Linked DNA regions of Notamacropus eugenii. The protein of the gene in region 1 binds, or shares a complex with, the protein of each later gene. Links are inferred from orthologs where the notes say so. Each region holds a gene or a part of one and is shown in the gene's direction. Other genes may lie near its edges. The genes, in order: GAS8, EFCAB2, TCTE1 and DRC12.

Region 1 (7,735 bases):
TCCGTCCTGAGCCTCCATTCGGCCGGCGGTGTGGGTCTCGGTGCCGCCCCTCGGCTCTAACTCAGCGGCAGGACGAGGACAGGGCGGCGGCGGCGGCTGGAGCCTCCTCCCTCGGGCGGCCGGCCCCGGCCCCGGCCTCCGCGTCCCTGCAGCAGGCAGCGACTGCGCCAGCGGCAGGAGCGCACATCGCCGTGCCACAGCAGACCGTGCGCGGCCGGCCGACTACTCGCCGGCTCCTCCGCCGCAAAGTAAGCATCGCATTGCAAATGAGCTAGGCGGGGTGCGGGCAGAGGGAGCCCGAGCGAGCGGAGGCACTGCGGAGAGCAGAGGCGAGGAGAGGGAGGGAGAGAAAGTGAGAGGGACGCGAGTGGGGGGGCCGGCTGCGCGCGCGCGTGTGGCCGGGTGCGCGCGGGACAGAGCCAGGCTGGCAGGCTGCCCGGGCGGAGGGCGGAGGGGACAGGAGCCGAGGGCCGGGGCCCCACGCCTTGTGGCTAGGGCGAGTGTAACCTGTTCCCCGGACGGAGGCTGGGGAGAGCGCGCTCAGGCCCTGAAGACAGGTGGAGGCTGGACGTGGAGAGGCCCGGAGCGCTGGCCCCGCTGCCCTCCTCTCTGCTGGCGAGCGCTGAAGAGACCGGGCAGGCGGCCTGGCCTTAGAGCCGATGTGTGCCCGAGCCGCACCAGCAGGCTGGCTCTCTGCAGCGGGCCCCGCGGGCCCCAAGACCAGCCCCCACCCACCTTTGCAGTTCTCCCAGGGCCACCTAGCTGGTCTCATTCCCCCCTGGCTTCCCTTTCTTAGAATCCTCGTTCTCTCCTCCCCATCCCCTTTCACCCCAGTTTCTTTGTTTTCGTATATAGAATGTAGTTCTGTGGCCAGCTTGGCTGACCCAGACCACTCTTGGGTGGCAGCAGATCGTGGAGGACAGGCAGAAGAGTATGGCTGCCCTGATAGTCTGGGCCCATGCCTCAGGCTGCCCTGGCAGAGATTGCTGAGAGAAAAGGAGGATGGGGAAGCAGAACTGGAGCAGAAAATAGGAGAACTGCACAGGGAAACCTGGCATGGATCCACAGGATTACAAGAACTGTTATGAGGGCTTCCTCCCTCCCTGCCCCCCCCCCCCCCAGCCCTTACTTAGAGCCCAGAACTATGGGCTCTGGGCTCTGCCACCTCTGGTGCCAGTCACTCAGTTGCATGTTTCATAACACCCACTGGAAAGACTGAATGGTTTTCTCACGCCTTGGATTAAAATGGGAGCAAGAAAGGATATTATGTTTTCTTCTTGGTGATTATGTACAATGCAAGGTAGAATGGAGAGAGTGTGAGAGAGAAAGATAGACAGATGACAGAAATAGGTATAGATAGATGGAGATGGATGGATGGATGGATGGATGGATAGATAGATAGATAGATAGATAGATAGATAGATAGATAGATAGATAGAAAGGCTCAAATTCAGGAAAAATTTCCCAACAATTAGAACTGCCCTAAAGTGGAGTAGACTGCCCAGAGAGGTGGTAGGTTTCCCCTCCTTGAAGGACTTCAGGAAGAAACTGGAGAATATTGGGGCATGTTATCTTGGAGATTCCTTTTGTGTACAGGTTGAGTCTAGATGTCCTCTACAGTCAATTCCAACTCTCCAAATCTATGATACTGTGAATGTTCCAATATACACCCATTCTCCCTCCCAGTGCCTCTTTTGAGAATGTCCCACAGGGCAGAATTACTGCGGTTTTCCTCTGAGTAAAGGTCATGTCAGAGAGCAAGGTCCTTCTGGAAAACTACAGAGCTTGATGTGAAATGAGGACAAAAAGAAGGGGATAGAAGAGCAAAGAAGCTTATTCTAGATCTCCTGAAACCCAGCTCTGGTTCTAGAAACATCCTTCAACACCTTCCTGGGTGGAAACCAGGGTCTAATGGCAAATCTCTGTGGACTGGACGAGCTGTTGGCAAGCTTGTTTTCCTTCTTTGCACATATCTTGCCTTACTGTGATACCTCTTCCCTTTTTCTTCCCTCTTGAGGTCACCTTTGACATTTATTTCAGTTTGATTTCACTGGGATGCAGGTGTTAGGGTACACCCAAGGTGCACCACACCTATACACCAGGAAGGTCATAACTTCTGCTAGCAACACTCCCAAAGAGAACCACACAACAGGTGATTTTTAGCATTAGGGTCCAATTACCCAACTAGACTCTGAATGGATCATCTTGGGTTTTCTCAGGCCTTCTACAAAAGGCAAGAACTTTTGACCAGATCTCCTTGGAACCTTTCTATGGTTCTAAAATTGTGCCTCAGCAGGATGGATGTGGCCAGGAAGGAGCCTTACATTTTACCAGTACATACGCCCTGTTTACCCGAGTACTGCAGCAGAAACAAAGTTAAGGAAAATCCAGTGGTTCTGAAACTTCTAACTTCTGTCTCCCAAGCCTGGAATATAATCCCTCCCTCCTTCAAGGGTCAGCTCAGGTCCTATTTCTTCCACAAAGCCTTCCTTGATCACATTCCACCTTTCCAAGTTGTTGATACCTTCTTTAGTCTCAGATTATTTGTATACAGTGTATTTCCCAATAGACTCAAACCTCCCTGAGGACAGAAAATGGTTCATTTTTTTTCCTTGAATCCCCAGTTCCTTGTATAGTACCATGCACAGAGAAAATTTTTTTAATACATGTTTGTTGACCTGAATTTTGTAATAAAGGAGGAAATCTGACCACGATAGAAAATTCCAGCTCCTGAGATGCTTGGGGTGACCCAGGAACAACTGCTAGGCTGTCACAGTTGGGAAAGATGAAAGAGGGTGGGTGGTAAATGAGACTTTAAATCATCAGTCTAAAGAAGCCCAAAGCTGGGCTCTCACCTCCCGTACTAGATCTATTTTGTTGACTCAATAAAACAAATATTTGTTGCATGTGTGTTATGTGCAAAGCACTGGGCCAGGCTCTAAGGACACAAAGATGACATAAAACACAAAAAAACTAATAATCTAGTGTGTGCGGAAACATGTGCGTGTGCGCACACGATTACTTCAGTATTCCAAGGCTTGATAACTTCATCAATGTTGGTACTCCTTCCACCAGCTCAAACCCCATGCCCTCTGTCCTGTAGTCAATCCAGCGACGAATATTTAGCTTGTTTGGTTCTTGGACAATAGATTCAGTCAATTACAATACAATATGACCCTTCTAGGCTGACGAGACCTGCCACAATTTACCCTCACACAGCCTAGCCTTCAAGGACACAGGAGTCACTTCCACACTATGATAAGATATCACAAGAGGTGCTCTGGATAGAACATTGGACCAAATATGAGTTCAAATCTGGCCTTATTCATTTACCAGCTGTGTGACCCTGGGCAAGTCCTGTAACTGCTGACTGCCTCCGTTTCCTCATCTGTAAAATGGGGGTGATAATACCACCCAGGGTTATTGTGAGGATAAAATGAAATATTTGTAAAGCCCTTTGTAAGCCTTAGAGTACTATATAAATGCTACCTATTATTCTTGCAAGAGTACTCTAGTGAAGTGTGCATGTCATTTATGCACTCTATATGATTGTGTAAATCATTAAGGACAGAGATCATGGCATATTCATTTTTGTATCAATGAGCCAAAAAAGGGTAATGGAAGGTGTTCCTAGCACAGGAAACTCTCACTCTCCTACTTTGCCACCAGTTTTGACTTTCCTTTATTGGGCTTCATCACATAGCCTCTCCTGACCTGATCTATACCAATGACTATCCTGCTTTCCCCATCCCTCAGTGCCTTCTCAGTTCTTTTACTAGACCTAAGTGGAGCCAAAGAGATTTGTCACAAAAGCCTGAAACGATTGAGGCACCAAGTAGTTTTCCTCTGTGTCAGAAACTAAACCAGTCAGAGGGTCTCAGCTAAGGAATTGATGATGAGGGTGGCGAGTCTGGCCTGAGGGATTAAGAGACAAGCTAACCCAGCTTGTGCACCTTTATTTCATTCATGATCTCTGTAGCCTATTTTTTAGCACATCAGTAGGTATGTAAAAAATGTGTCTTGAATTGAAGGAGGGATATTTCGTATTTATCTAGATTTCTGGATACTAACATATGAGCATCCCAGTTCTATTCCAGATAAAATTTTCTGATCTCTACAAGTGTGAATAAAGTATCTTCTTTAACATTCTGAACCAAAACCCAATATGAAAAGCAGAGAGGTCCCTGTAGGATCCCTGTCTGGATCCAAGGGGAGTCTCAGAGCTAGACTTGCCTAAGCTTCTTGATATATTAATTTCTATAATCTACATTGATATGAACAAAATAAACCTCTCCAACAGTTCTGTGATCACATTAATTTAGAACCCTAGCTATCCTGAAGCTGAAGAGTCACTTACCATGGGGGGGGGGGTTCTTTTTCATTGTCCTTATCATTTAAATAGGGACTCCATGGCAGATTTTTTGAAACAAAAGGCCAATTCTTTGTATGTCAGTCTCAAAGCACCTAACACATTGTGGATGCTAAGTCAGTGTTAAGTAATAACAATAATTAGCTCCCTGAGATTTCCAGCTGCACCATCTCTCTTGCCACCAGTCCTCCAGAGAGAGAGAGCTACTCCTTTTGCCATGCCAAGTAGACCCTGGCATCCAGAAGTTGGCACAGTAACGGCCCCTTGTTTGGGCTTCTGACTGCATAAGACATGGTGACACCATCAGACATCACAAAGACCAAGTTGCCCCTTATAAATGAATCACTACTTTTTAAAGGGGGACCCATCAGGATGTAAATGCACGAATCAAGGCAGTTTGATTGGTGTAGCCCTTCCCACGAGCTCCTCCTCCTCCTCCATTACTACCTTCCCCTCCTCCTCCTCCTCCTCCTCCTTCTCCTGTTCCTTCTCCCCAAGGCTAAGATTCCAAATCAACCAATGTTTAGAAGGAAGACCAGAAGACTGCCTCTTAGATCCATCACGTTCACTTACCAAAGGCCCAGCTTTAACACTGCCCTAAACAAATGTATCTTTCTGAGCACACACCGCAGGGCTACTAACCACAACTCTGCTGGTGGTGAAGAGTCTTGTACTTTGTCCAAAGTGCTTCTTTTATGACTCAGTAGCACGACCAGACCAATGGAATCTGTGGATCTGGGTCCAAGCCATGGTTGAAGAGTACACCAATGAAGATCACAAATGGTGCGTACACACACTTGCTGTTTGTGTTGAAATTCATGAAGCTGGCACACTGTATTTCTCTGTGACATATACAGTATAGCTGTTCCTGGAGTCCTGAAGAGCCGGATTCACATCCTGCCTCTGATACTTCCTAACTATGTCATCATGGGCAAGTCCCTTACTCTACGTTACAGATGGGGTTACTTGGGTAGAGGGAGTTCCCACCACTGGTAAAAGCATAGATCTGGTATGGCAGTCAGTCAATCCTAACCTAAGCACCTACTCTGTGCCAGGCCCCACGGTAAGTACTGGAGATAGGCAAAAAACATTCCCTTCTCTCAAAGAGCTCATATTGTAATGGAGGAGACAAGATGAAAGCAACTATGTACAGACAAGCTATATAAAAGATAAATTGCAGGATAATTGGAGATAATCAGCAGAAGGTATCCACTCTAGTTTAAGGGGGATCAGGAAAGATTTCTTGTAGAAGGAAGGATTTTAGGGGGGACTTGAAGGAATTCTCTGTATGAGAGACAGCCAGTGAAAAAATGAGTTGAACTGGGGAATGGAACCTCTTGTTGGAGGAACAGCAAGGCCAGTGTCTCTGGATTACAGAGGATGTGGGGGATGAGTAAGGTATTAAGGTATAAGACATCTGGAAAGGTGGGAGGGAGCCAGGGCTTTGAATGCCAACAGAGGTTTTTATATTTGATCCCAAGGGTTCATAGGGAGCCATAAGTGTTTATTGAAAATATTTTTGCTCTCAAGAAGCTTACAATCTAATGGGGGAGACAAGATGTAAACAATATGTACAAACAAGTCATAGACAGGATAAACTGGAGTTAATGGTCAGAGGGAAGTCACTAGCATTAAAGGGAATCCAGAAAGTCTTGCTTTGGAAGGTGGGATATTAGCAGGGTCTTGAGAAAACCAGGGAAGACAGGATGAAGATGAAAAGGAGGGAAAGCATCCTGGGCATGGGACACAGTCTAGAAAAATGCCCAGAGTTGGGAATGGGGGGAGGTATGTCCCATCTATCACCCAGGGGTGCTATAAGGATTTGACATGATCTTTAGAAATGGAGCTCTAGTGAGTGAAAGGTCAGAATTAAGATGTGTAAACTGTAAAGCGTCACATGCCAACTCCATGGTTGGTGCACTGTAATGGAAAGAGAAGAAACCACCCACTGAGAAAAGCTTATCCTGCCTTACCCAAGCGAGCTACCAGAACAGTTTGGGGCTTATTAAGGGTCAACATGATACCACTTTGCTGATGTCTCCAGATTGGTGGCATTTGCCTTCTGGGCCATCCCTGCTGGGCTATCTTTTTGACAGCTGGTAGAATGAGGGTACCTTTGGGCCTGATACCAGGGAAAGAGCATTTCTGATTTAAAATCTGGGCCAGATACCAGAAGCAAGAAAACAGAATTTCTGATTTCAAGTATCAGGGGAGACTAATTAGAGGTGATGAGAATATGCTGGCCTTTTTTTTTTAAAGACACATATAGACCCCCTTACTTGGATGTTACAGATGGTCTTCTGGCTCTTTCCACCATCTCTCTGATTTAATGCTGTGACAGCCACAGGCACGAATCTTCAAAGAACAAGCAGGGTTATATATCATCTCATTTTGTTCTGGAGAAAAAAAAAAAAGCAGATCCTTGTCTCAGTGTTCAAGTTATATAACAGGCAGCTGGCTGCAGGTGAGCAGAGCCAAGACTTTAGATCTAATTTGAGGAATCATCTCTGGCCTGTCACCATTTATAACGTGGTTGGGGCTATCTAACCTAAGGAGAATGGTGCAAACCAGTACACAAAATGCCAGGGTCCTCAAGGGCAATTACCCCTCTAGACAGACAGACCCATTTGTGTAAAGACAATTTGGAAGCAGAAAGATTATTATTAGATCTAGAAAGGCAGAGGATCTGGGTTTGAGTCTGGACTTTGTCACTCATTAGCTGTGTGATGTTGGGCAAGTTACTTAAACTCTCTGAGCCTCAGTTTCTTCATCTGTAAAATGGGAAAGGCAACATGGGGTAGTGGAAAGAGCCCTGAATTTTGAGTCAGAAGGCTTGGGTTTGAATGCCAGTTCTGCTCCTAACTACTTACTTGTGTGTGACCTTGGGTAAGTCCATCGATTCACCAGCATTTAATTAAGTGCCTGCTGTATTCCAGGCACTGACCTAGGACCTGGGCATGCAAGTATGAAGAATGAAATAATCCCTATTCCCAAGGAACTTAAATTAAGATGATTTCTTGACCGGAAGTTTTTTATCTCCAAAATGACGACTAAATGCTGTCCAAGGTCCCTTTCAGCTCTAAAATCATGATCTATGATCCTTCCAGCCTTACATCTTGTTGGACCATATATCTTATATGGTTGTCTTGAGACTCAAAGGGAATCATGTATGGAAAGGATTTTGTAAACTAGAAAGTGCACTGGAAAGGACATAGAAGAAAGAGTTGTTATTCACAGAGACATGCATTCATTTTGTACATACACGCAAGCCTGATCCATGCATATGCAGCGACTCATAAATCCTATACCGTCCTGGCAAGGCTTAGACTGGCTGTTTGCAAGGGCGGATCTCGGAGCCTTCAGCCT
Region 2 (6,986 bases), on another chromosome or scaffold:
ATTAAGAGGGCTGAGAGAAAAGAGAAAGGGACCCAAAGTGAAGCCCTAAGGGATATGCAAGGATTTTGATTATGGGTGACAATTTAACAAAGGAGAGGGAAGAGTAAGTGGTCTACTGGGTAGGAGGACTCTATTATCATGGATATTGATCTGGAAGGGAACTTGGAGATCATCTAGTTCTACCTTCTCATTTTCTAGAAGAAGAAACTGAGGTCCAGAGAGGACAAATGATTTGTCTAAATGTATTGTAATCTTTGGGGTCTTTGATTAACACTTAACACATACATATTCCTTTGCTGCTTACAACAAGTATTCTATGTAGCCAGCTGAATTAGCCTGCAGGCTCCTCCTCAGAATCACATTTTAGATGCACAAAACAAAAAAGTATTCTGAAGAAACTTAGTTATATTATAGTTATTAAAATATGATATCATGGACCACAAGTTAACCTCTACTAGAGTCTAGGTTTACCATCCCAACCTCCATTCACATTTGCAAGTCAAGTCCCCTGGAAGATACTATTTCTCCCCTCAGGGGTCTTGGGGATCTTGAAGGGTGTTTTTTAATGCTGTAGCTAAAAATGCTATATATAGCTGACCCATCCCCTCCAGATTCTCACTTGCTATCTGTCAAACTTAATTACGGATGGAAAAAGGGAAGGAAAAAAGGGAGAATAAACAAAGTTATATGATACCTCATATATTTTAAAGGAATAGCAAATTTTACATAATAGATTGGCAGTTTCATGTATAATCATCTTTTTTCCCTATTCTATTATGTTATAGAAATGCTTGTTTTATTTCTTAAATTCAGAATAAAATAATTTTCTAAAAAGTTCTTAGAAACAGATACTTACTAAAGTGTATAGGCAGAATAGTTGGTACAAAGCATCACTCTCAAACCAAGAGCACACTTTGTGATAAGTACATTGAGTCCAGGGAAAGTGGGGGTCAACCTTAGAACTCACATATGGCAAAGGAGTAACTCATAGATCCTGGGAGTTCTTTTCTTGGAGTCCTCTCCTTCCCGGAGTCCTCATAAAGTTCCTCATAGACTTGGTCCAGCCTTCTGTTGGACCTCCTATAGAGCCCTAAAAGACTGAATTTGATAATCTACTTTGTCCTCAGCTCCTCCAGATGCAGTGAGCAGTCAGTCAACAAGCATGTCTTAAATACTTACTATGTGCCATGTGCTAGCAGTACAAATATAAACAGAAAGAAAGTCAATCTCCTGCTCTCAAGCTTATATTCTAGTGGAAGAAAATAATACATAAAAAGAAACTGAAAAAGGAATGAGAAGAAATGAAGGTACCAGTTGTAGGGGCACAGAAAAGTCTAGAGAGTCAGCAGTATAGCCTGGAGAGGAATAAAGGAGTGGTGAGCCTGTGTGTCCTCCTAAAAATGGAGGTACTGGGAGGAACCAGCCAATGAGAAGGAAGGTCTGCATGGGCAGAGGGTACTTCAATTTGTGAAGTCCAGGGCTGGAATGAACGTCCAGGGTGAAGAGGTTTCTAGAATCGGATAGAGAAATTCCAGAATTCACCCTGCAAAGGAGAGATACTATTTTTAGTTGCTGTTGTCCCAGGACGATGTTACTTGAATTGTTAGGAAGATTCTCCCTAGAGCAAGCCTAAATTTGCCTATCTGCAGCTTCTAATTATTGCTTTAGTCTTCTGGAGTCCAGCAGAACAAGTCTAAGTCCTTTTTAACAAGATCATCAATAATACTTCAAAATAGTTATAATGTCCCAAGGAGAGCTCTCTTCTCCAGAAGAAACATCTCCAGTTTTGTCAACCGATCTTCACAGTTTGTTAGAGAAAGTACTTTGTAAACTTTATTAAGTATGAGTTTATAGCTGCTGTCTAAGGTCCCTTGAAGCTCTCTATTTATTCAGAACCTGCTAGGTATCTGGCTGGAAGCTGATGGTGCAGAAAGAATACAAAGCAAACATAAGACTTAGTTCCTGCCTTTTGGGAACTTACCTTCTAATTGTAAGGCCTAACAACCAGAGACAATTGGGAAACAATTGTGTATTTACTGCAGCCAAGGAACTGATTTATAAGTTCAGTAGCAGACCCGAGTAAATTTAAATATAAACAAGAGCTTCTTCAAAAGTAAAATTTCAAACTGTCAAACATTAAACAATTTTCAAGGAATTAAAGTTTGCTAAGAATCAGGTAAGCTAAAAATCATCTTTACTTCTGCTTTTTTAACATTCATATAATTCTTTTAAAGTAATCGATAAGTATTTAGGAACACCACTTCATATGCAGAAACTGAAAGCAAAAGGTAATCCATTCTTTCAGGAAATAAATCCGATAACTTTGGTTCCAGTCCAGAGCTCCCAATTCAACCACAAAAAATTCTCCAGTAGTTGCAGGAGGACTTGTAACTAGGACTTGTCCCCTAGACAATTTGCTCCACTAGGAAGGATTTCATTGATCTTCCATGCAACCTCAAATGTGGTGGACAATGTGAAAATTTTCAAGTTTATTCCTCTTTATGTCCATCTGTAAACTATGGCTACTAGTCCAGGAAAAGTTTCTCCAGGGAGAGGGAAAACTGACCTCCTTGGTAGATCTAGTTACTGCTAAACTGGATTTTGGCCTTTGATGCCACTGATTCTAACAAGGGAGAATCTGTAGGATAGACCTTTTCCTATGTAAATATTATCAACAAGTAGTAAGCCTAGGAGGGAAACTGAATTTGTCAATTATTCTGAATCTATATTGGCAGTGTGTGATGGGGAACTTATATTACTGGACTGAAATGACAAAACAGGCACAGTTTGACATGTGAAACTTACCTGCGTCATCTTTAATCACCGAAGTAACAAAAAAAAATCTGAATTTAAGTTTTTGAGAACACCATGCAGTCCTAGGACTTCCTCCCAACACGGGTTGGTTAGTTTCAGGTTCAATGACAAATTGGCCTAGCGAGCTCTGGGCCTGCAGATACTTATTGTGCAGAAATCCTTCCAAGAAAAATACGATTTAGTATGTCAATAAGAAAAAATGCAGCCAACTTATTTTACTGCGCGACCTCCGGCTCGTGCAATTCACCAAGGGGCCACCCTTTGTTTAGTACGAACAATACAATCAGGGCAGTGTGAATTTATTTTTCACTTGAAATTGTAAAAAAAATCAAATGGATCGAGCACAGCATTTCAATAGCCTTTAAAAAGAAACCCTGCGTACCGAGCTTTGGAACCACGTTTCAAGATTAGAGGCATTTTAAGTGGCAAATGTCGGAGAAAAAAAAGCTTGAAGTTTTCTCAGCAACTGCAGCAGGAGAACGTGACGGAGAATTTAAAAAAGCCCCATCGCCTGGCCCTATGGAAGGCTGCGCATGGCACTCCGGGCGCGCTGTTGCCAGGAGAACCCTGGGTTCTGCCTCCCGGCTGGTGCCTGACGCCGCAGCCCCGACAACGCCGCCGCCAGGGTTTAGCGGGAGCCTGGGCTACAGCCGGCGCTGCTCGGCCTCGAGGCCCATTTCGTCCCGCTCCGGGCCCAGGGGTGCTTTGAAGGCCCCCGCCACCCCGGCTATTCGGGGAAGGGAGCATGGGTGGGGATGGATGGTGGCGGGGAGGGCCTGCTGGCGGCCGCTGCTTCGCTCGGGCCCGGGAGGGAGGGGCCGCCCCCGCGCGCGCCCCACGTGGGCCGCTCGCCTCCGGTTGGGGGGAAGGGCGGCCCCAGGCTCGATCCCACCGCGCCTCCTGCACGTTTCCAGCCGCCCCCCCTTTTTTTTTAAATCTGGCAATAAAAACGCAGCCGTTCCCAGGGAGCACGAGGGAGGGAGGAAACGAGCGGGAGAATAGGAGGAGGGAGGTCCCCCCTGTGGAGGGCGGGAAGAGAGCGCTTTGGCGGCAATTGTCTAACAACACTCCAGGTTCTGGGGCTCTAGGGCGGGGCCCACGTTTTTATGGCGGGGGCGCCGAGTTCCCAAGGAGGGGTCTTTTGCGTGGGGGGGGGGTTGTCCACGTCTTCCACGGCCCTGCCTCCCCATTCCTTTACGGCTAGGACTTGCCTTCTGGAAGTCGGCGCAGGGCCGCGGCGGGGCTGGGCATGGTGTTTCTCTCCCTTCCCTCCCCTCCCCTTCCCCTTCAGATCCAGGCAGTTCTTCTTTCCCGCCGCCGCCCAGCGCCACCTGGCATCTCCAGGGCGACCGGGCCGGCAACAAGATGGCGGACGATAGAGACAGCGGAGGTAGGAAACCGCCTATGGAAGGGAAGGGCCGGGCCTGGCTTGCTGAGCGTTGCCAGAGGCCTTGGAGGAAGCACCCCTAGAGGATACCCCTGCCTATACCCCTTTGGACGTGCCACCCGCTGAGGGGAATGGGTGCCGTGCACGGGGGAGGGGGGGAGAAGGCGGTGACCTTGGCCCCGCCCAGCGCGGGAGTAGGGGAGGGAGGGATACGTCGGCTCTCCTCCCCCTCTCCTTTTTCTCATCCTCCCCCGCTTCTTTTATCTCCCCTCCCCCAGGCCAGGCGCGGTGCCCGAGAGCTACGCCTCGGCGCCTCCCGCCGCCCCCTCCTCCTCTTCCGGGAAACTGTAGCGAGCGCCCCCGCCCGGGGCTCGGGGACAAAAAGATGGTGTCCCGGTGGTTGTATTAGGGATGGAGGTGGCTGCGTCCGCCCACTAGGGCCGGCGGGGTTCCTCCTGGATCCTCTTTCCTCCTCCCATCGCCCCCACGCGGCCGCGCCGGGCCTCCCTTGTCTCTCTGCCTGACGACCGTTGGCGGCACCATTTTGCTTCCCGCGGCGCGGGGAGGCGAGGGCGGGAGGAAGAGGCTGCAGCGGTTCCCTCCCCCTTCTGCACCATGAAGCGCCTCTCCCCGGCCCTGGCTTGTGCGTAGGAAGAAAGAGCCAGGCCGGAGACAGTTATTTATTCATTTTGGGGGGAGAAAAAAAAAAAACACCCCACACCACCTCTCACCGCGATCATGACCAAGGAAGTGCGTTCGGGAAGCCTGGCCATGAAGTGGGACCGCCCGCCCGAGAGGCTGCCTTTCCGGGGCGCTCCTTGCAAGCAGGCCCGAGGATGCTGGCGCGCCTCGGGCCCAGCAGGCCCGCCTCCCTCTCCCCCTCCCCCACCTCGGCCCGGGCTGAGCTCGCTGCGTGCGGCCCCCATCTGCAGCCGCGTGCAAGCGGACATGTTCTCTTCTCAAGCCCCGGGGGGTTCCCCACACAATAAAAATAAAGGCCTCAGTCTGAGGAGCTGAGGCTCCCTGGAGAAGAAGGCGAGGCCAGCCCGGGGCCCGCGGGCCTCAGACGGGAGGGGAGCCGCCCCGCGGGGCTGCAGAGACCCCCTGAAACCGGCAGTCACCACGTTCCCGTACGTTAAAGCAACCACAACAAAAACCGCGACTTCCTCAGCCAGAATCTGACCAACCTGGACCCCTCCCCCACATTCTCCTGCATCAACTTGAATTTTTCCAGTTTATTGTGTCAGTATTTTGTTTTTACATCACTGTTTGCTCGTTGTTTCTCCGTTTAAACGCTGAGTTCCTTGGGAGCAGGGACTGGTTTTTGCCTTTTTGTCCCCAAGGCTTATTAGACACAATGCCTGGCACATAGTAGGCCTTAGGAAGTCCCTGTGGAGTACTAAAAGCCTAGTCTTAGGTTACTAAGCCCCTCCTCGTGTATTTTCAATATGACTGTTGACAGGGATAAATAATATGCCCTGATTCTGCTTCAGACCAAGCTTCAGGAGCAGGGAACCTTCTTTTGCCTGTCTGTGTCCCCAGCCATACCTGCCATATAGAGCAGGTATTTATAAATGCATGTTGACCGTTTGGAACCTGGTATTGCGGTTCCAACATCACTTCCGGTATAGCGTAAATACTGCTCTAGTTCTGCGGAGGTTGAGAAATGCTTTGCGCTCAGAAAAGTCCTGGCAAAGCAACTGGACCTTAGAAAGGGAAAGCCTATGGCCCCTGTCTGTGGACTGCAGGCGGGCTGTGGAGAACCGAACCTGAGCCAGGTGTCTGTACGTTGTACGGCCTGCAGGGCCACAGAGCGCCGGCTGAGACACAAATTCGTAGCAGGGTTCGGCGTTGAGGTAGGCTGCAGCCTCGAGGAGTTTACGTTCTTTTTTTTGAACAATAAAATTTTTATTTCTTTGTTTTTAGTTCTCAGCATTCACTTTTATAAGATTGTGAGTTGGAAATGTTTTCTCTCCCTAAGATGGCATACCATCTGATGCAGGCTGTACATGTACAGTCATATTAAACATTTCTACATTAGTCATGTTGTGAATCAAAGGGAAAACCACAAGAAAGGAAGAAAAAAGGAAATAGTGTCTTTGATCTGCATTCAGAATCCATAGTTCGTTCTGTCGATGTGGAGAGCAGGAGTTTACATGCTTATGAAATTTATGAATATTACTATGCTACTTTTCCTAAAATAAGTGACGTTAGCTTTCAGTGATGCTGTTTAGAAAGTACATACTACATCCCAAGGAATGACTGACTTTTTTATTAATTTTTCAGCTATTTTAGGAAACTGGAATGCAGAATTTTAGAAATGGAAGGGGATTTACATTCAGCATGTTTCAGTGGAAAGATGAATATGGAATCAAAAGCCTGGGTTTGAATGTCATCTCTATCATTTATGTCCCAAGTTCTTTAGCCTGTCTGAATCTTAATTCCCCTGTGTAAAATGAGAATAATGATAATACCGCTTCATATCTCCCTTTGCTTTTATGAGGAAAGTACTTTAAAACTGTAAAACACTATAGAATCATGAGTTATGATTTTCATTAGTTTATTCCCTTTCCTTTATAAATAAGGAATCTGGCTGTAAAGGTTAAATGAGTTTCCCTAAGTCTTACAGTTAGATGGCAATGAAGCAGGAAATAGAACCTGGTTTGGTTACTTTATTTAGCAACACTAAAAGAAGTAGATACTTTGGGAAGAGATTTGTCAGCAACTGAACAGGTTAATCTTGGATGTTTGGGAGCTATTTTTGTTACCAAGAGAACACTCCAAA
Region 3 (7,868 bases), on another chromosome or scaffold:
CTCACACTCTCTCTTCCCCTTATTTCTCCAGGTCCCATTGACCTCCAAGCAGCTTGAGGCAGTGGAGGAAGCTGTCCGAGAGGCTGTGGAGAGGGATGAGCCTGTGTATATGGCGGAGGTGGCTCTGGAGCTGGCCACCCAAGTTCCAGGCTTACGCTCTCTTGATGAGGTAAGAGGGAGAGGAAGAAAGGGAAGAGTTTAGTAGAAGGCTCAGAAATGCTGCCTCCTTTTTGAGGGGAGGGTTTGTAATGTACCTGCTCTTCCCCTTGCCACAGATATACCCTGACCCTGTTCGGGTGGTGTCTGTGGGGGTACCTGTAGCCAGTGCCCTGGCCCCCACCTCCCAGGCTGCACTGCACACCTCTGTAGAACTGTGCTGTGGCACGTAAGTCATCCCCTCTCTGTCCTATTGCCCCTTGTGCCTTAGGTTCCTCTTGGTCATGGTGTTCCCACGTGGTTCCTTTCACCAATGCTTCCCCACATTGCAATGTGGGCTGTAGGCTCTGGGTTCTTCTCCGGAATGCCCGTCCCTCTACCATCCCCCTTTCCTTTGCCCCAGGCACCTGCTGCGCACTGGGGCCATAGGAGACCTGACTATTGTGGGGGAACGACAGCTATCCAAAGGCATCATCCGACTGGTGGCTGTCACTGGGGAGCAGGCCCAGCAGGTCAGTGATCACCCAGGAAGAAAGAGAGGGAAGGACTCCTTAGCTGGAGGAGGCAGGCTGGAGAAAGCACACACACGCTGGAGATTTTCAGTCCAGGGGGAGCCATAGCCAGGTATGAGGTAACCTTGGAATCACTGTGACTAATAGACCCTTTTTCCATCTGCCAGGCCCGTGACATTGGCCAGAATCTGGCTCACGAGGTTGAAGCAGTTGCAGCTCGAATGAACCAGGGGAGCCACGATGTTGGGGAGGCTCAGCGTTTGTCAAAGGATGTGGGACGGCTCAGTGATGTGAGGACCGCATCCTTCCCTCTGCTCTTCCCACTGTATTATACCCTTTTTCTTGTACCAGCCCAAACCCATTGCAGGTCTCCCTGTCTCATACTAAGAAGCTTAACAGGTTGGCCAGCAGAAGGACCAGGCTTTGTATTCTGTGTGGGAAGGGGATGGAGTGGGTGCTTTGGGCCTGGGCCCTGCCTCTGCCCAGGAGCACTACAAGCCTGGGGATGTAAGTATGATGTTGCCTTTTCTGGCCACAGACAGTGGACACAGCTGTGATGCCCCAGTGGCAGCGTCGAGAGCTGCAGATGGTCCTGAAGAGACTGCAGCGCCATGCCAACACTGCTGTCCGAAAACTGGAGATGGGACTGGTAAGGGAACTCTCTGTACAGGGCCATGGGGGCTTGGAACGTGCAGTGTGACAGCCACCCAGCAGGCACAGCTACCAGAACTGGCCCATATTAGTCCAGAGCAGTTAGACAGGGCAGGAGATGGGAAAGCTAGAATTGGGTCAGAAGGAAGAGTAAGTCATTAGGGAAAACTTCCTGAAGAAGGATGTGGAGCCAGGGCAAAAGGAAGAAAGAGGCCAGGGCTTAGGGTTCTCAAAAGGCAGCTTGCTTCAGCCAGGCGAGGACTTGAGTGGAAGGTCTGGCTTTGGCAGAACACGAGGGCTCAGCCTCTCCGAGTCCTTGTGTCACTTCTCAGTCACCCTCAGGTTGAAGGAAGACACAGGTAGGAGGGCTGAGGTACCCATGTTGGAAACTCAGGGAAGGAGGGATGTGTGGGGATTGTCCACCTGCCCTTCCCCTCCTCCTGCCACACACACACACACACACACACACACACACACACACACACACACACACACACACACACACACACACACACACACACACACACACACACACACTCACACACTCACACACTCTCTCTCTCTCTCTCTCTCTCTCTCTCTCTCTCTCTCTCTCACACACTCTCTCTTTTTGTTTTCCCCACTCCCTTCTCTGTTCTCCAGGCCACAGCAAAAACGCAGGAGTTATTGGAGAGAAACCCTGTGGGGCCTTTCATTGTTGACACAGTCCCAGCTGAATCCCTCTCGGTGTGTTGTAGGGAGCAATCACAGGACGGGGGTCTCCTAAGGAAGGAGGGAAATGGAGGAAGTGGGTGGGTTTCAGCAAAAGGGAAGAAGCTGGGACAGGGAGATGAGAGAGTTACAGTGGGGATCTTATTGAGGGACTGCTTTGTGCTTTACTGGAGTCAAGAGGATACTAGGGAAAAGGCCTGTAACAAATAAAGGAGGGGCCATGGGGAGGCCTGGGGCCACAGTGGCTCTGGCTGACTCTCCCTCCCTTTCCAGCTGCTAGTGAAGGTGGTGAAACAGCTGTGTGAGCAAGTCCCTGGCACTTCCGTGTTACTGCTCAGTCCGCAGGCCCCAGGGAAGGTCCTGTGTGCCTGTCAGGTGGCTCAGGTGAGTGGACAGGGAGAAAGGTGTGGCACCATCCTTCCTCCCATCTCTCCCCACTTGGTTGAATGGTTAAAGTGAACATCACCACCATGCCCCCGCCCCCCCATCTTCTGGCATGTGCTTCATTCATTCTCTTCTCCAGGAAAGGGATTCACACATATACCAGGGTACAGAATTTCTCCTGTTATTAAAAACAGTGCCTGCTCAAGGGAAAGGGTATTCTTCAGTCACCTGTCCCAGTATAGAACAAGTATTCTCATGTTCTCTTCCACTTTATGATTTGAAGCACTGTGGCTACATAACTTAGCAGGGACAGAGCCTCTGGTCCCTGAAGCTCTCAGCCTTGCAAACCATCGTAAATCACCCATCCACTGGGCTAAGTAGAGCTTCCCTTGTCTTCCCTCCCCCACATGCCCTGCCTGTCTCATCCCCAAGAGCTTTCTCCCTGGCTTCTAATGTGATTTTCCTACCAACTACAAATAGCAGCTACTACCAGTAGGTTCAGGTGTCCAAGACTCCCAGAGTGCTGTCTGCTGGTGGGGAGGGGAGTAGTAAGGTCAGTTCCTGTCTGCTTTTTCCCTAGGATGCAATGCCCACCTTCACTGCTGAAACCTGGGCATCGGTGGTATGTAGCCACATGGGAGGCAAGGCCTGGGGCTCCCGAGTCGTGGCCCAGGGAGCAGGGAACACTGGTGACGTGGAGGCCGTGCTGAACATTGCCCGATCCTTTGCTCTCAGCCAGCTCTAACCCAGGACTTTTGGAGTGAAGAAAAGCAGAGCAGCTCAGTAGGACAGGAGCCAGAGGCCCCAGTGCCTAATGACTAAGAAACCAGAGACAAAGACAGAATCAGGAGCATAAGAAAAGCCATGACATAACTATCTCTTGGTCCTTCATTGGTGCCCACTTCCCCCTTGTGGGGAGAACTTGAACAGTGACCTTGAGAGGACCCACCTCCCACCCCCCACAACCAAGGGAGGATGAATCTGTGCAGCCTAATCCTCAGCCATGGTTCGCAGGAACTCAGTGCTGAAGCTATGGCTGCCTAGTAAAAAGCACTTTGTTAGGGGACAGACAGCTACCAAAAGTTACTAGGAAGAGGAAAGTTCTTTCCTTCCCCTCTCAGACTGCTCAGGGGTCTCAGTAGTACCTGTGTCCATCACTCCTGCTTGTTCCTCAGGCCTGGCTGGGTGAGGTTTGGGACTTGGGACTGAGCCTGGGATCTGAGACCTCTGTCACCACTGATGCATGTCTATAGATGGCATCAGACCTGAGCAAACAACAAGGATGAGCCCAGCCCCCTTGGTCTCCAGAACTAAAACTATAAGGGTCTTGAGTCCCTAGCAGTCTGGAAAAGCTCAGACCAGATAGGAGATTAAAAAGCATTTCTGCCTCAGGGCAGTCCGCTGAGTCCCTCCTTCAGAAACAGCCTGGAAGCTGTCCTCACTAAGACATCCCAGGTCACAACAGGACAGACCGTGGTGAAATGATACCCTGGCTTCTTCCCTCAGTCTAGGCGTCTTTTGCTTGTCTCCTGGCAGCCTTTTTCAGACTTGACACCAAATGCTTGGGAAACTGGGCATTCTCTGGAGCCTTAATGAGGGAGAACGGAGCCAGCTAGTATGGCTCCCCCTTAGAGGCCAGGATCCCTGCAACTGGATCTGGATTGATGACTGAGCATCAAAATTTAAAAGGGCCACCTGCCTCCTAGCATCCAAAGATGTAATTTATAGGTCTCTCTTTCTCAAATGGAGCTTGGCCCCTCCATGGTGCATTCTACTTGACAGCTGATTTCTCATTTTAATTAAGATGTTACTGATTTATTGATTAATTACTGCTGTGAGACCAGTCATCTCCAAAGTTCCCTGTGCCTGGCTCCTGTGTTGTTTACTCCTGCCCTGCCTAAGCCTCTGGGGTTTCTAGGTCTTCTCTCAGGGCCAGGTTCCTCCTCCCTCCCTACCTCATTAAGGACATGAGCTCATTGGGGGAAGGGGGCACTGAAAAAGAAGGAAAAGATGCCAGGATTTAGCCCTCCCTCCCCTGTCCAGCCAGATAACCCACCTCTTGGGCCACAGCCTTACCCTTTAGAAAATGGGATGCCACAAGAAGCAGAGACCACAGCCTCTTTATTCCTGTGTCCCAGAGGCTGAAGACCCTAGAGGGACTGGGTGTGGTCGAGTGGAGAAGGGACCTGGGGCTTGGGGTTTACCACCTGCCTCCTTCATGTAGGGAAAGGACTGCACAAAGGAGCCAGGGTGTATTGTGACTGCTGAGGCAGGGTGGGGAGGCAAGATGCACACACCTGGTGAAGGAGCCCTGGTTATGGAAATTATTCCACAACTTCCCCTGAGGTTGGCCAGTGTGGGGAAGAGCAGGGGTTGGGGTTAGTAGGTGTAGTATTCCATCTCATCTGCTGTGAAAGGAATCCTAAGGGACCCTGGCAACACCCAATTTTCTAAACCTTAATCACATCTTAAAGGGGATGGAGAAGTGAGAGTTTTTATAGTCAGCCCCTCACACACAAAAGAATACATTATACACAGTCCCATAGGAAGCATGGAAGTATGCTCAGACAGAAACAAAGCATATATGTGCACACTGCACATATGTGTGTATACATCACACCACACACTAAGACTGGACAGACTGCGCAAGCGCTCACACATACAGGCACACACACCCTCGCTCTCCTTCCCTTACCAACAGCCTGCGTGCATAGCAACCAATGCAGACAGCCTTCCGGTTGGGGGGGAGGGGAGGTGTCTCCATGGAGACAGAGCCAGGCAGAGGGTCCCAGCTAAACTGAAGACAACCAAGGCAGCTGGTGAGGAAACCTTGGGATGGGAGGCTGACGGATGTCCTTGTGCCCTGCTCCCCTCTATGCCCACGTCCCTGTTGTTCACTCTGCCAGATCTTCTGCACCCCCTCCCCTCCTGCCTACCCCTCAGTGTCCCCCTGGATAAAAGAATCCTACTCTTCCCCCTGTCTCCACCTTTAACTCTCCAGTCTCTTCCTTAGGATGGCCTTTTATGACTTACTGTCTGTGGTACAGCTTCACCAAACTGATCCCTCTTCCCTGTGGAGGAGAAGGGGGGAGGGAGGCCTGGTAGCCCCAGCAGTAGCCACTTGAGACCTCACCCCACGGCTGAAGAAAGATGCCCGAGTTCCCTTGTCCCCAGGGAGTGGTTATTGACTTAACAGTGTCAAGGGGAGGACTGGGCTGCCTATGAAAGGAGGAAGGAGATGGAGAAAAGGTCCTAGGGACATCATTAACAGTCATGCGTCTATCCTGTGCCTACTCTGCTTCTGCTTCCCTTGGGACAGAAGCCCCTTTGGGAAACCCAGACTTTCTTTTCCCCACTTCCTTCCCTGCAGTCTCTTTCCCTTGACTACAGAATAGCTGCTGCATCCTTTTCTCCTCACAGGATGGGTGGACAGGCACTGCAGTGACCTTTAGAAAGCTGAGAAGAGAAGCCCAGTAGGAATTATCAGTATTTGAGACAGAGTGAGGAAGGTTAAAAAAAAAACAACAAAAAACCATCATCATTCATTTTGGGTCAGTGCTGGATTTGAGCCTGCTGAAGCTGCAGGCAGGTTTGAGCTTGAGCCATAAGCCTAGAGGACAGGGTAAGCTGTATTCACGGTGTATCATGGTGGAGAGGGGCTGGGAGGGGAGGCAGGAAACCTGAGTGTGTCTCAGCTGTGTCCATTTCTAGCCTGTGACCTTGCAAATCATTCAGCTTCCCAGCCTGTTGTCTCATCATCTTTGTGATGGGAATTAGACTTGTACTACAGACACTGTTGTGAGGAAAGCACTTTGTAAATTCTGATGTGTTGTATGAAAGTGTGTTGCTGTCACTTTTATGAGCCATTTTGCTAGGTTGAAAGAGACCAAGCCCAAGCATTCTGGGGAGTGGAAAGGGAGAACAAAGTAACATGACATAGCAGAAAAGGCACTGGATTGTGAATTGAGATCCTTATTGGACCAGCTGTGTAACCTTAGGAAATTCACTTCCCTTCTCTGCACCTCAGTTTCCTTATCTGTCAAATGGGAGTAGTGGGCTAGATGAAGATACTTCCCATGATTCCATATGTTCCTCATTCCTGCCAGCCAGAGATTCCTTTCTACCCCTTGTTCTACTACTCTAAAAAATAAGCGTTAACTTGGTGAGAAGCCTTAGGCTGCATCCCATGTGCCTTGGTTGTCTTTTCATCAACTCCCACCCCCAGCACAACCCTCCCCACAAGTTATATTGATTATTTCGTCAGATCCCAGCTCTACCTGGTTATACTGTTGATAGGAGTAGAGACCACTAGTGGTACAGTGGATAGAGTGGTGTGCCTGGACTTGGGAAGTCCCAAGTTCAAATCTGCCCTCTGACACTGGGTAGCCACAGGACCCTGCACTAATCACTTAGCTTCTCTTTGCCTCAGTTTCCTCAACTATAAGATAACAACACCTACCTTTCAGGGTTGTTGTGAGGATCATATGAGGCAATATTTGTAAAACACTTAGCATGGTAGCCAGTACGTAGTAGATGCTATAGAAATGCTTCTTCTGTTCTGCTAATGTTAACCCAATTGCAGTCAACTCTAGAAGCACCTAAATTTGCCCCTTCTCTTCCTTTCCCATGATGATATCTTAAGGGAATTAGGCAAGGAAACAAATTTAGAGGATCTAGCCATGTTTAGCACATGGAGGTTGCGATACAGGTGGGACATCCAAGTAGAGATGTCCAGTAGCACATTTAAAATGTGGGAGTAGGAATTGGGAAAGAGATCAGGGCTGGAGACACAGGTTTGGGATTCATCTGTTCAGAAGTGAGTAGGTGAGAACAGATGAGACAGGAAGAACCAAAAAAGAAGCAATTAGAAAGGTAGGAAAGTCAGGAAAGATCATAGATGGAGAGTTGAAAGAACCAACAAATCCAGCCTTTCATTTTACAGATGAAGAAACTAAAGATAGGTTAACTGATTAAATAATGGTCACATAGGTGTCAGGGACATTTGAACTCAGGTCTCCCTGACTTCAAGTACAGTGTGCTAGGTGATTTCACAGCAGTGTCAGAGAAGCCAAGGAAGGAATATTAAGGGAAAAGTCTGCTGAATCTCACAATCAGGAAGTTGTCAATGACCTTGAAGACAGCATTTTTAGTAGAGTGACAGAGCTCAGATTTTAAGGAGATAAAATATGAGAGAATGTTGGGGACAGCAGAGGCTTCAATGTATGAATGTTTGTAGTGAGAGAGGAATGAACCACTGGAGAGAAAGAGAATAAAGATATAGTTGAGATACTAGATAGTTGCCTGAACAAAGCTCCAGAAAAATCAATTAATATGGAGGTCAAAGGCACTGAGTTAACCTTAGAAATGAAAAAGAAATACTTCCTCCTCTGAACCAGGTGAAAAATCAGGTAATGAATGGAAAGGGAGGGGGCTCAAGCCTATTCACTTCCATTG
Region 4 (6,907 bases), on another chromosome or scaffold:
CACAAATAATTAGGTGTTAATGTGTTAACAAAATGCTAACACTGCTACCCCTTTTCAAAATGTGTGAAATTTTCCCTGATGTACATAGAGAGGAAGTTTACCATTAGCTAACACATTAACCATGCCCTTGATCACCTTTAAAATGCTAGCTTACTAAGTCCTGCCTTCCCTGGAGATAGGAAGCAGTTCAATGAATGGGACTTTACCAGCAAAAGAAATAAGACTAAGAATTCAAGAGAGAACCAGTTCTGGAAATGGACATGAGCTAGGGAGGGGAATAGACCCTGAGAGTCCAGTTGAGCAACAGGAAGAAATGCTGTGCACAAGGGGAAGCAGTGTGAAAACCACATGGAGAACAAATATTGAGAGCATGAAGTTGCCTTGACTACACTACTATTGTACTTTGTGCCTATTCTTTTCGTGTATGCTATATGTATTTGTAGGTATATGTGCCCTAGTTTAATAATGGAAATGTTTTAGGGACAGATAGGTGGCGTAGTGGCTAAAGCACTGGTTTGGGGCAAGTCTCTTAACTCTGACTGCCTTGTAAAAAAAAAAATAGGGTCAATGTTTTGTAGCTACTGTTTTTACTGCTTTATCTTAGTAAAAGCACCTTCTTTGAGCTACTTGTATCTACTGACTAAGTTAAGGGAAAAGCTCATTGGTGAGAGTTCTTAAACTATAATTTCAACAGTGTAAACCCAGAGTATCCTGCAAACTGATGGTAATGGTGGCCTTCTGGGAAGGTAACTCAGAGTGGGTGTTACAAATATAAATGGAAAGAACAACAACAAAAAAAAAAAAGATTTAAATTGAACAGTGTGTAATTATAATGACCAAGCTTGGCCCCAAAGAAAAAAATGAGAAAATTTATTTTCCTTCAATATTAGCAAAGTCAAGGGGATTATATCCGTACAATATATACAGCATATAATGTTGGATTTAGTTGATGTGGTAGTTGGTTTTGCTGAAGTCTGTTTTTTGTTCTTTTTAATTTTTATTAAAAGGGTTGCTTCGAAAACTCAAAAGTCAAGCCACTGGCTGGGAAAATGTCCAGAAAAGGGGAAAAAAATAAGACTATAGAAGGTTACTTTCTTGGTGAACAGATAATTCCTCCCTTCCTTTCTGATGAGGAAGAACAATGCTTACCATCAGGGAAAGACACAGAAGTCAAGGCTTCTGTATCCCACACATCCAAAATAAATATACCATGGGCTCAGGCCATGGAAGAGCTCAAAAAGGATTTTGAAAATTAAGTAAGAGAGGTGGAGGAAAAACTGGGAAGAGAAATGAGAGAGATGAAAGAAAAGCATGAAAAGCAGGTCAACACCTTGCTAAAGGAGACCCCCAAAAATGCTGAAGAAAATAACACCTTTAAAAATAGGCTAACTCAATTGGCAAAAGAGGTTCAAAAAGCCAATGAGGAGAAGAATGCTTTAAAAAGCAGAATTAACCAAATGGAAAAGGAGGTTCAAAAGCTCACTGAAGAAAATAGTTCTTTCAAAATTAGAATGGAACAGATGGAGGCTAATGATTTTATGAGAAACCAAGAAATCACAAAACAAAACCAAAACAATGAAAAAATGGAAGATAATGTGAAATATCTCATTGGAAAAACAACTGACCTGGAAAATAGATCCAGGAGAGACAATTTAAAAATTATGGAACTACCCGAAAGCCATGATCAAAAAAAGAGCCTAGACATCATCTTTCATGAAATTATCAAGGAAAACTGCCCTGATATTCTAGAACCAGAGGGCAAAATAAGTATTCAAGGAATCCACCAATCACCTCCTGGAAGAGATCCAAAAAGAGAAACGCCTAGGAACATTGTAGCCAAATTCCAGAGTTCCCTGGTCAAGGAGAAAATATTGCAAGCAGCTAGAAAGAAACAATTCAAGTATTGTGGAAATACAATCAGGATAACATAAGATCTAGCAGATTCCATATTAAGGGATTGAAGGGCATAGAATAGGATATTCCAGAAGTCAAAGGAACTAGAACTAAAACCAAGAATCACCTACCCAGCAAAACTTCAGGGGGAAAAATGGTCTTTCAATGAAATTGGGGACTTTCAAGCATTCTTGATGAAAAGACCAGAGCTGAAAAGAAAATTTGACTTTCAAACACAAGAATGAAGAGAAGCATGAAAAGGTAAACAGCAAAGAGAAGTCATAAGGGACTTACTAAAGTTGAACTGTTTACATTCCTACATGGAAAGACGATATTTGTAACTCTTGAAACTTTTCAGTATCTGGGTACTGGGTGGGATTACACACACACACACACACAGAGCACAGAGTGAATTGAATAGGATGGGATCATGTCTTAAAAAAATGAAATTAAGCAGTGAGAGAGAAATATATTGGGAGGAGAAATGGAATGGGGCAAATTATCTCTCATAAAAGAGGCAAGCAAAAGACTTTTTAGTGGAGGGAAAAAGAAGGGAGGTGAAAGAAAAACATGAAGTTTACTCTCATCACATTCCACTAAAGGAAGGAATAAAATGCACACTCATTTTGGTATGAAAACCTATCTCACAATACAGGAAAGTGGGGGAGAAGGGGATAAGCAGGGTGGGTGATGGAAGGGAGGGCAATGGGAGGAGGGAGCAATTAGAAGTCAACACTCTTGGGGAGGGACAGGATCAAAAGAGAGAATAGAAGCAATGGGGGGCAGGATAGGATGGAGGGAAATATAGTTAGTCTTACACAACACAACTGTTATGGAAGTCATTTGCAAAACTACACAGATATGGCCTATATTGAATTGCTTGCCTTCCAAAGGGAATGGGTGGGGAGGGAGGGATGAAGAGAAGTTGGAACTCAAAGTTTTAGGAACAACTGTCGAGTACTGTTCTTGCTACTAGGAAATAAGAAATACAGGTAAGGGGGTATAGAAAGTTATCTGGCCCTACAGGACAAAAGAAAAGAGGGGGACAAGGGAAGGGAGGGATGATAGAAGAGAGGACAGATTGGTGATAGGGGTTATTAGAATGCTTGGTGTTTTGGGGTGGAGGGAGGGGACAAATGGGGAGAAAATTTGGAACCCAAAATTTTGTGAAAATGAATGTTAAAAGTTAAATAAATTAATTTTAAAAAAAAGAAAAAAAATAAAGTGATTGTTAACTCCTCAAAAAAAAAAAAGGGTTGCTTCTCTGAGTATGAGAGAGATGTGTTGAGAGAAGAAGGTGCTATAATAAAAGTATATCAGTGAAAAGTAAAACAAAATCAAAAATAAATGATAAAAGAATGAAAAAATGCAATAAAAATATGTCATTTTAGAGGTAGAAGATTATTCCAAAAGAAGAGATGAAAAAATTCAACCTCCTTTTTTGCAGAGGTGGGGAATTGTGGTTGTAAGTATGTTGCATATTATACTATCATATTTAGATGTTTTGGTTACTTTTGTGGAACTTTTTTCCTTTCTTTTTTATTCTTTGTTACATGACTCAATGGGTAGGGTAAGAATGTATTCAGAAAAAGGAAGGTAACATAAAAGTAAGTGATAGCAAAATTAAAAAGGAATATTCTAGCTCAAACCTTTCATCTTATGGGAATTATGCCAAATAATTATCATTACTGTTGCCATCATCAGCATAATAAAGCTATTTTTAAAATTTTAACATTTATGATGTTCCGAATCTATGGTCTCCAAAAAAATCTGGACCAATCTTCCCCAAGTCATTCTTCACCAGTTCCCCCTGGGATGTGGAATAGGGGAAGGAGATACATGGAGAACAGGAAGTTAATCTAAATCAGTAGTTAATTCTGTCTTCCTACAAACAACTCCCAAGTTTCTTGGTTGCTAAGACAGAAGGCAGCCCAGACACTCAACCTTCCTTCCACTATCTCCACCCCCTACATTGCTGATCTGTACTGGTTGCCCTAATCCAGCCCCTTCCTTGGTCTTCCAGCTCATTGGGCCATCCTACTGCCTTTCAACATGAGTTCTCTGGGGAGACACACCACAGAAGAAATAGGAGGCACATCTGAGGAGGTACCTACAGGTAAGGGGAGGCAGAGAAAGAGGGGGCAAAGGCAGGCACAAAGCTAACCTTATACAAAGAATTACTTTCTCCAAAAGAGGACCCAAAGGTATTCCTTTTTTACATAGTGGATGAAAGCTACACAGACTGATCACCCATTATTATTCTACCAGATAGTCACCTTAAAATGAGAGTAGAGAGGGCATCTCCTTAGGACCCAGAACTTGAACACAATGTGCCCATTTCCTCCTCTAGGACACCAAGATGCCACCAAAAATCAAAGGAAAAGGATCAAAAGCTGGGGGACAGAAAAAGAAAAAGAAGAATCAAGGTGAGTGAGGTGGGTAGAGGCTGGTGGGAACAATGCGGGTGTCTTTGAAGGCTTTGTCCACCTAGCATCCCTTAGAGTCCTGACCCCCTTCCCCATGGTGGAATCCAGTCCGAGCCTATTTCTTCCTCCTGGCCTTGGTTCCTTCATTTATAACAATGGTACCCAGGGATGGGGAAAGATGAACTTGTGTCATTTCCTCTAATTGAAGATCCATTCTCCATCTCTTCCTGCTCCCAGGGACCAAGATTCTACATGAAAACAAAATGCAGGCTCTCCTGGAATCACCAGGGATCCAGAATCTCCTCTGGGTCAGCCTAGCCTATTTTGAACTACTCAACTTTTGCAATTGTTGCTCTTTCACACTCCTGTACCACCAGCTCCAGAGGGACCTGCAAGTGCCCACAACCTTTAGATTTAACCCCAAAAAGGTTTCTAAACATGGGAGTTGAGGGTGGAGGAGAATGACAAAGGAGAAGCTATAATAGATTAGGCCTTTATATGGTTTCCATGAAACTGTCCCTCACTTCCTGTTTTGTAATATAGAAGGAGTCATGGACTAGGAGTCTGAAGATGTGAGTTTTGTTTGAACTGCTGTGTAACCTTAGGCAAATTCACTTCACCTCAGTTCCTTCATCATAAAATTTGGGAGTTGGAAAATAATAAAGTTCCTTCTAGCTCTAAATCTATAATCCTATGATTCCTTCTTGCCAAGGACAGATGTCGATGTTGAGATCAAGCACAGGAGAACAGCCTTGGAGGTGGAGATCCTCCGTGACCATCTGGGTAAGGGAATAATAGAGGAAGTTCCCCTACTCCTTGGAGAGTGGAGGTGATACCTATTCCATAGTTGCTCCTAAGTAGTTCCTAGCTAAATAGATCATTATGGGAAATTATGTGAAAAGTCTAGGTAATGAAGGTTAGAATTATAGTTAATTATAATCCTTACAGAGATGAGGATGCCATTTTCCATTGGCCAGAGCAGAGAAGAAATTTGTTCCAAAAGAGTGACTGGTAGACTTCAGGGCTGGGGGAAACAGGGAAAACTCTAAAACATTGGGCAAATAAGAACTTGGAGACTCCAGGAGTAGGGAAGAGAGGAGTATAGCAGTGTGTGCGTGTGTGTGAGTGTGTGTCTGTGTGTGTGTGCACACGTGCATGTGGGTGGGAGGTATCCTGGGAGAATGAGATATTCTTTATGGGCTGAGGACTTCATCCTTCATTTGGTGCCACCCCTAGCTCTTCGACGGGATGAGACTCGCCAGGCCATAGCTTGCAGAGAACTGCTCCGAGTGAGGCTGCAGGAGTTGGAGGCTGAGGTGGAGGAGGCTCGAGGTGATGGAGAGGCTGTGTATGCAGGTGACAGGAGGGGCCTCAGACTATAGGACAATTTATCACCAATTCTGTCTTTGAGCTTTTTCCACTCAGCATAAATTGGATGAGGCTCTTGTGGGATCTTAGAAAGGGATGTCTCAAGGTTCATAACCCCTCCATCCCACAGTGATTGTAGATCTGGAATGGGACAGAAGATCTGGTTGTCTTTCTGTTCTCTATTTGTTATAAATTTCCATCTTTTGGGTGACTTTACAAGCAGAATTTTCTATATCATAAACAAGCCATGGGAAGGTGTTTCCCAAGGCAACTTCCTATAATATCATCCCCCATATGGAGTACCATGTTCATTTCTGGGTACCACATATTAAGAAGGATGTAAGTTGGAAAGTATCTCCAGAGGAGCACAGCCAGGATGGAGAAGAACCTCAAGATCAGATCAGATGAAGGAACTGGGAATTTTTAGCCTGAAGACAACTTCTAGGGGAAATGTAGCTGTCTTCTAATATTTGAAGAACCATCTCATGAAAGGGATTAAATTGGTTCTTCTTGGCTACAGAAGACAGAACTAAAAACAATGGGTAGAAGCTTGAGAGTAGCAAATTTAACTGTGATAAGGAAAAAACTTCCTAAAATTTAGATCTATTGAAAAGTAAAATGGACTGCCTTGGAAAGTAATATGTTCTCTCTCACAAGAAATCTTCAAGCAAAAACCAGGTGACAAATTGGTATGTTGCAGGGAAGTTTCTTGTTCTGGTATAGATTAGACTAGATGGCCAATGATATCTCTTCCAATTCTAATTCTATGATCTTCCTTATTGGGAGTACCTCCTACTACTATCCCATACCCCAAGAGATGAGTCGTCAGTACCATGCCCTGAGGGAAGAGACTGAGACACAGAGACATCAGCTGGAAGAGAAAGTAAAGGTCCTTCAGAAAGAGTTAGGTAGGTATGAATTTCTGTGTCCTAGATGGGTACCTGATCAGTCTGTGTTCTGAGAATGGGATATAGCAGGGCTAGAGCTAGACAAATGAGCTGAGTTTGACAAGAATGAAGGGATGAGGCAGCATTCTTTTAGGTGAGGCATCTAAGGGTATTCTGTATCTTGGAAAGTGCAAAGGGGACAGATTCTCCCACAGGCCACTGAGCAGACTCTATTCAGCTGCCTTCATATTCCTCATTAATCCTGTCTCTGGCTCCCCAGAGACATGCCAAAGAGAGGCAAAAACTGCTAAGAGAGAGGCTGAACAGGCATTA

The links.
Region 2: GAS8 (region 1) and EFCAB2 share a complex: the UniProt entries of both Homo sapiens proteins name them as parts of the nexin-dynein regulatory complex. The link is inferred for Notamacropus eugenii from reciprocal best matches to the Homo sapiens genes DRC4 and DRC8.
Region 3: GAS8 (region 1) and TCTE1 share a complex: the UniProt entries of both Homo sapiens proteins name them as parts of the nexin-dynein regulatory complex. The link is inferred for Notamacropus eugenii from reciprocal best matches to the Homo sapiens genes DRC4 and DRC5.
Region 4: GAS8 (region 1) and DRC12 share a complex: the UniProt entries of both Homo sapiens proteins name them as parts of the nexin-dynein regulatory complex. The link is inferred for Notamacropus eugenii from reciprocal best matches to the Homo sapiens genes DRC4 and DRC12.

Annotation. Positions count from the first base shown.
Region 1 is NC_092872.1:708,012,841-708,020,575, forward strand, and holds the start of GAS8 (dynein regulatory complex subunit 4), read left to right. Parts: upstream 1-4,732; 5' UTR 4,733-5,149; coding exon 5,150-5,152; intron 5,153-6,648; exon of another isoform or gene 6,649-6,765; intron 6,766-7,631; exon of another isoform or gene 7,632-7,735. Other genes in the region: DBNDD1 (dysbindin domain-containing protein 1), read right to left, coding at 1-18; uncharacterized protein, read left to right, coding at 1-248, 856-990. UniProt on the Homo sapiens protein: Component of the nexin-dynein regulatory complex (N-DRC), a key regulator of ciliary/flagellar motility which maintains the alignment and integrity of the distal axoneme and regulates microtubule sliding in motile axonemes.
Region 2 is NC_092873.1:406,147,682-406,154,667, forward strand, and holds the start of EFCAB2 (dynein regulatory complex protein 8), read left to right. Parts: upstream 1-3,976; 5' UTR 3,977-4,179; coding exon 4,180-4,204; intron 4,205-6,986. UniProt on the Homo sapiens protein: Component of the nexin-dynein regulatory complex (N-DRC), a key regulator of ciliary/flagellar motility which maintains the alignment and integrity of the distal axoneme and regulates microtubule sliding in motile axonemes.
Region 3 is NC_092873.1:107,791,028-107,798,895, reverse strand, and holds the start of TCTE1 (dynein regulatory complex subunit 5), read left to right. Parts: upstream 1-4,865; 5' UTR 4,866-4,965; coding exon 4,966-5,233; intron 5,234-5,834; exon of another isoform or gene 5,835-6,036; intron 6,037-7,868. Other genes in the region: AARS2 (alanine--tRNA ligase, mitochondrial), read left to right, coding at 32-169, 276-385, 560-668, 836-958, 1,207-1,317, 1,962-2,045, 2,304-2,414, 2,995-3,159. UniProt on the Homo sapiens protein: Component of the nexin-dynein regulatory complex (N-DRC) a key regulator of ciliary/flagellar motility which maintains the alignment and integrity of the distal axoneme and regulates microtubule sliding in motile axonemes.
Region 4 is NC_092876.1:279,606,055-279,612,961, forward strand, and holds the start of DRC12 (dynein regulatory complex protein 12), read left to right. Parts: upstream 1-3,894; 5' UTR 3,895-3,945; coding exon 3,946-4,009; exon of another isoform or gene 4,010-4,097; intron 4,098-4,243; coding exon 4,244-4,319; intron 4,320-5,031; coding exon 5,032-5,102; intron 5,103-5,555; coding exon 5,556-5,675; intron 5,676-6,502; coding exon 6,503-6,595; intron 6,596-6,854; coding exon 6,855-6,907. UniProt on the Homo sapiens protein: Component of the nexin-dynein regulatory complex (N-DRC), a key regulator of ciliary/flagellar motility which maintains the alignment and integrity of the distal axoneme and regulates microtubule sliding in motile axonemes.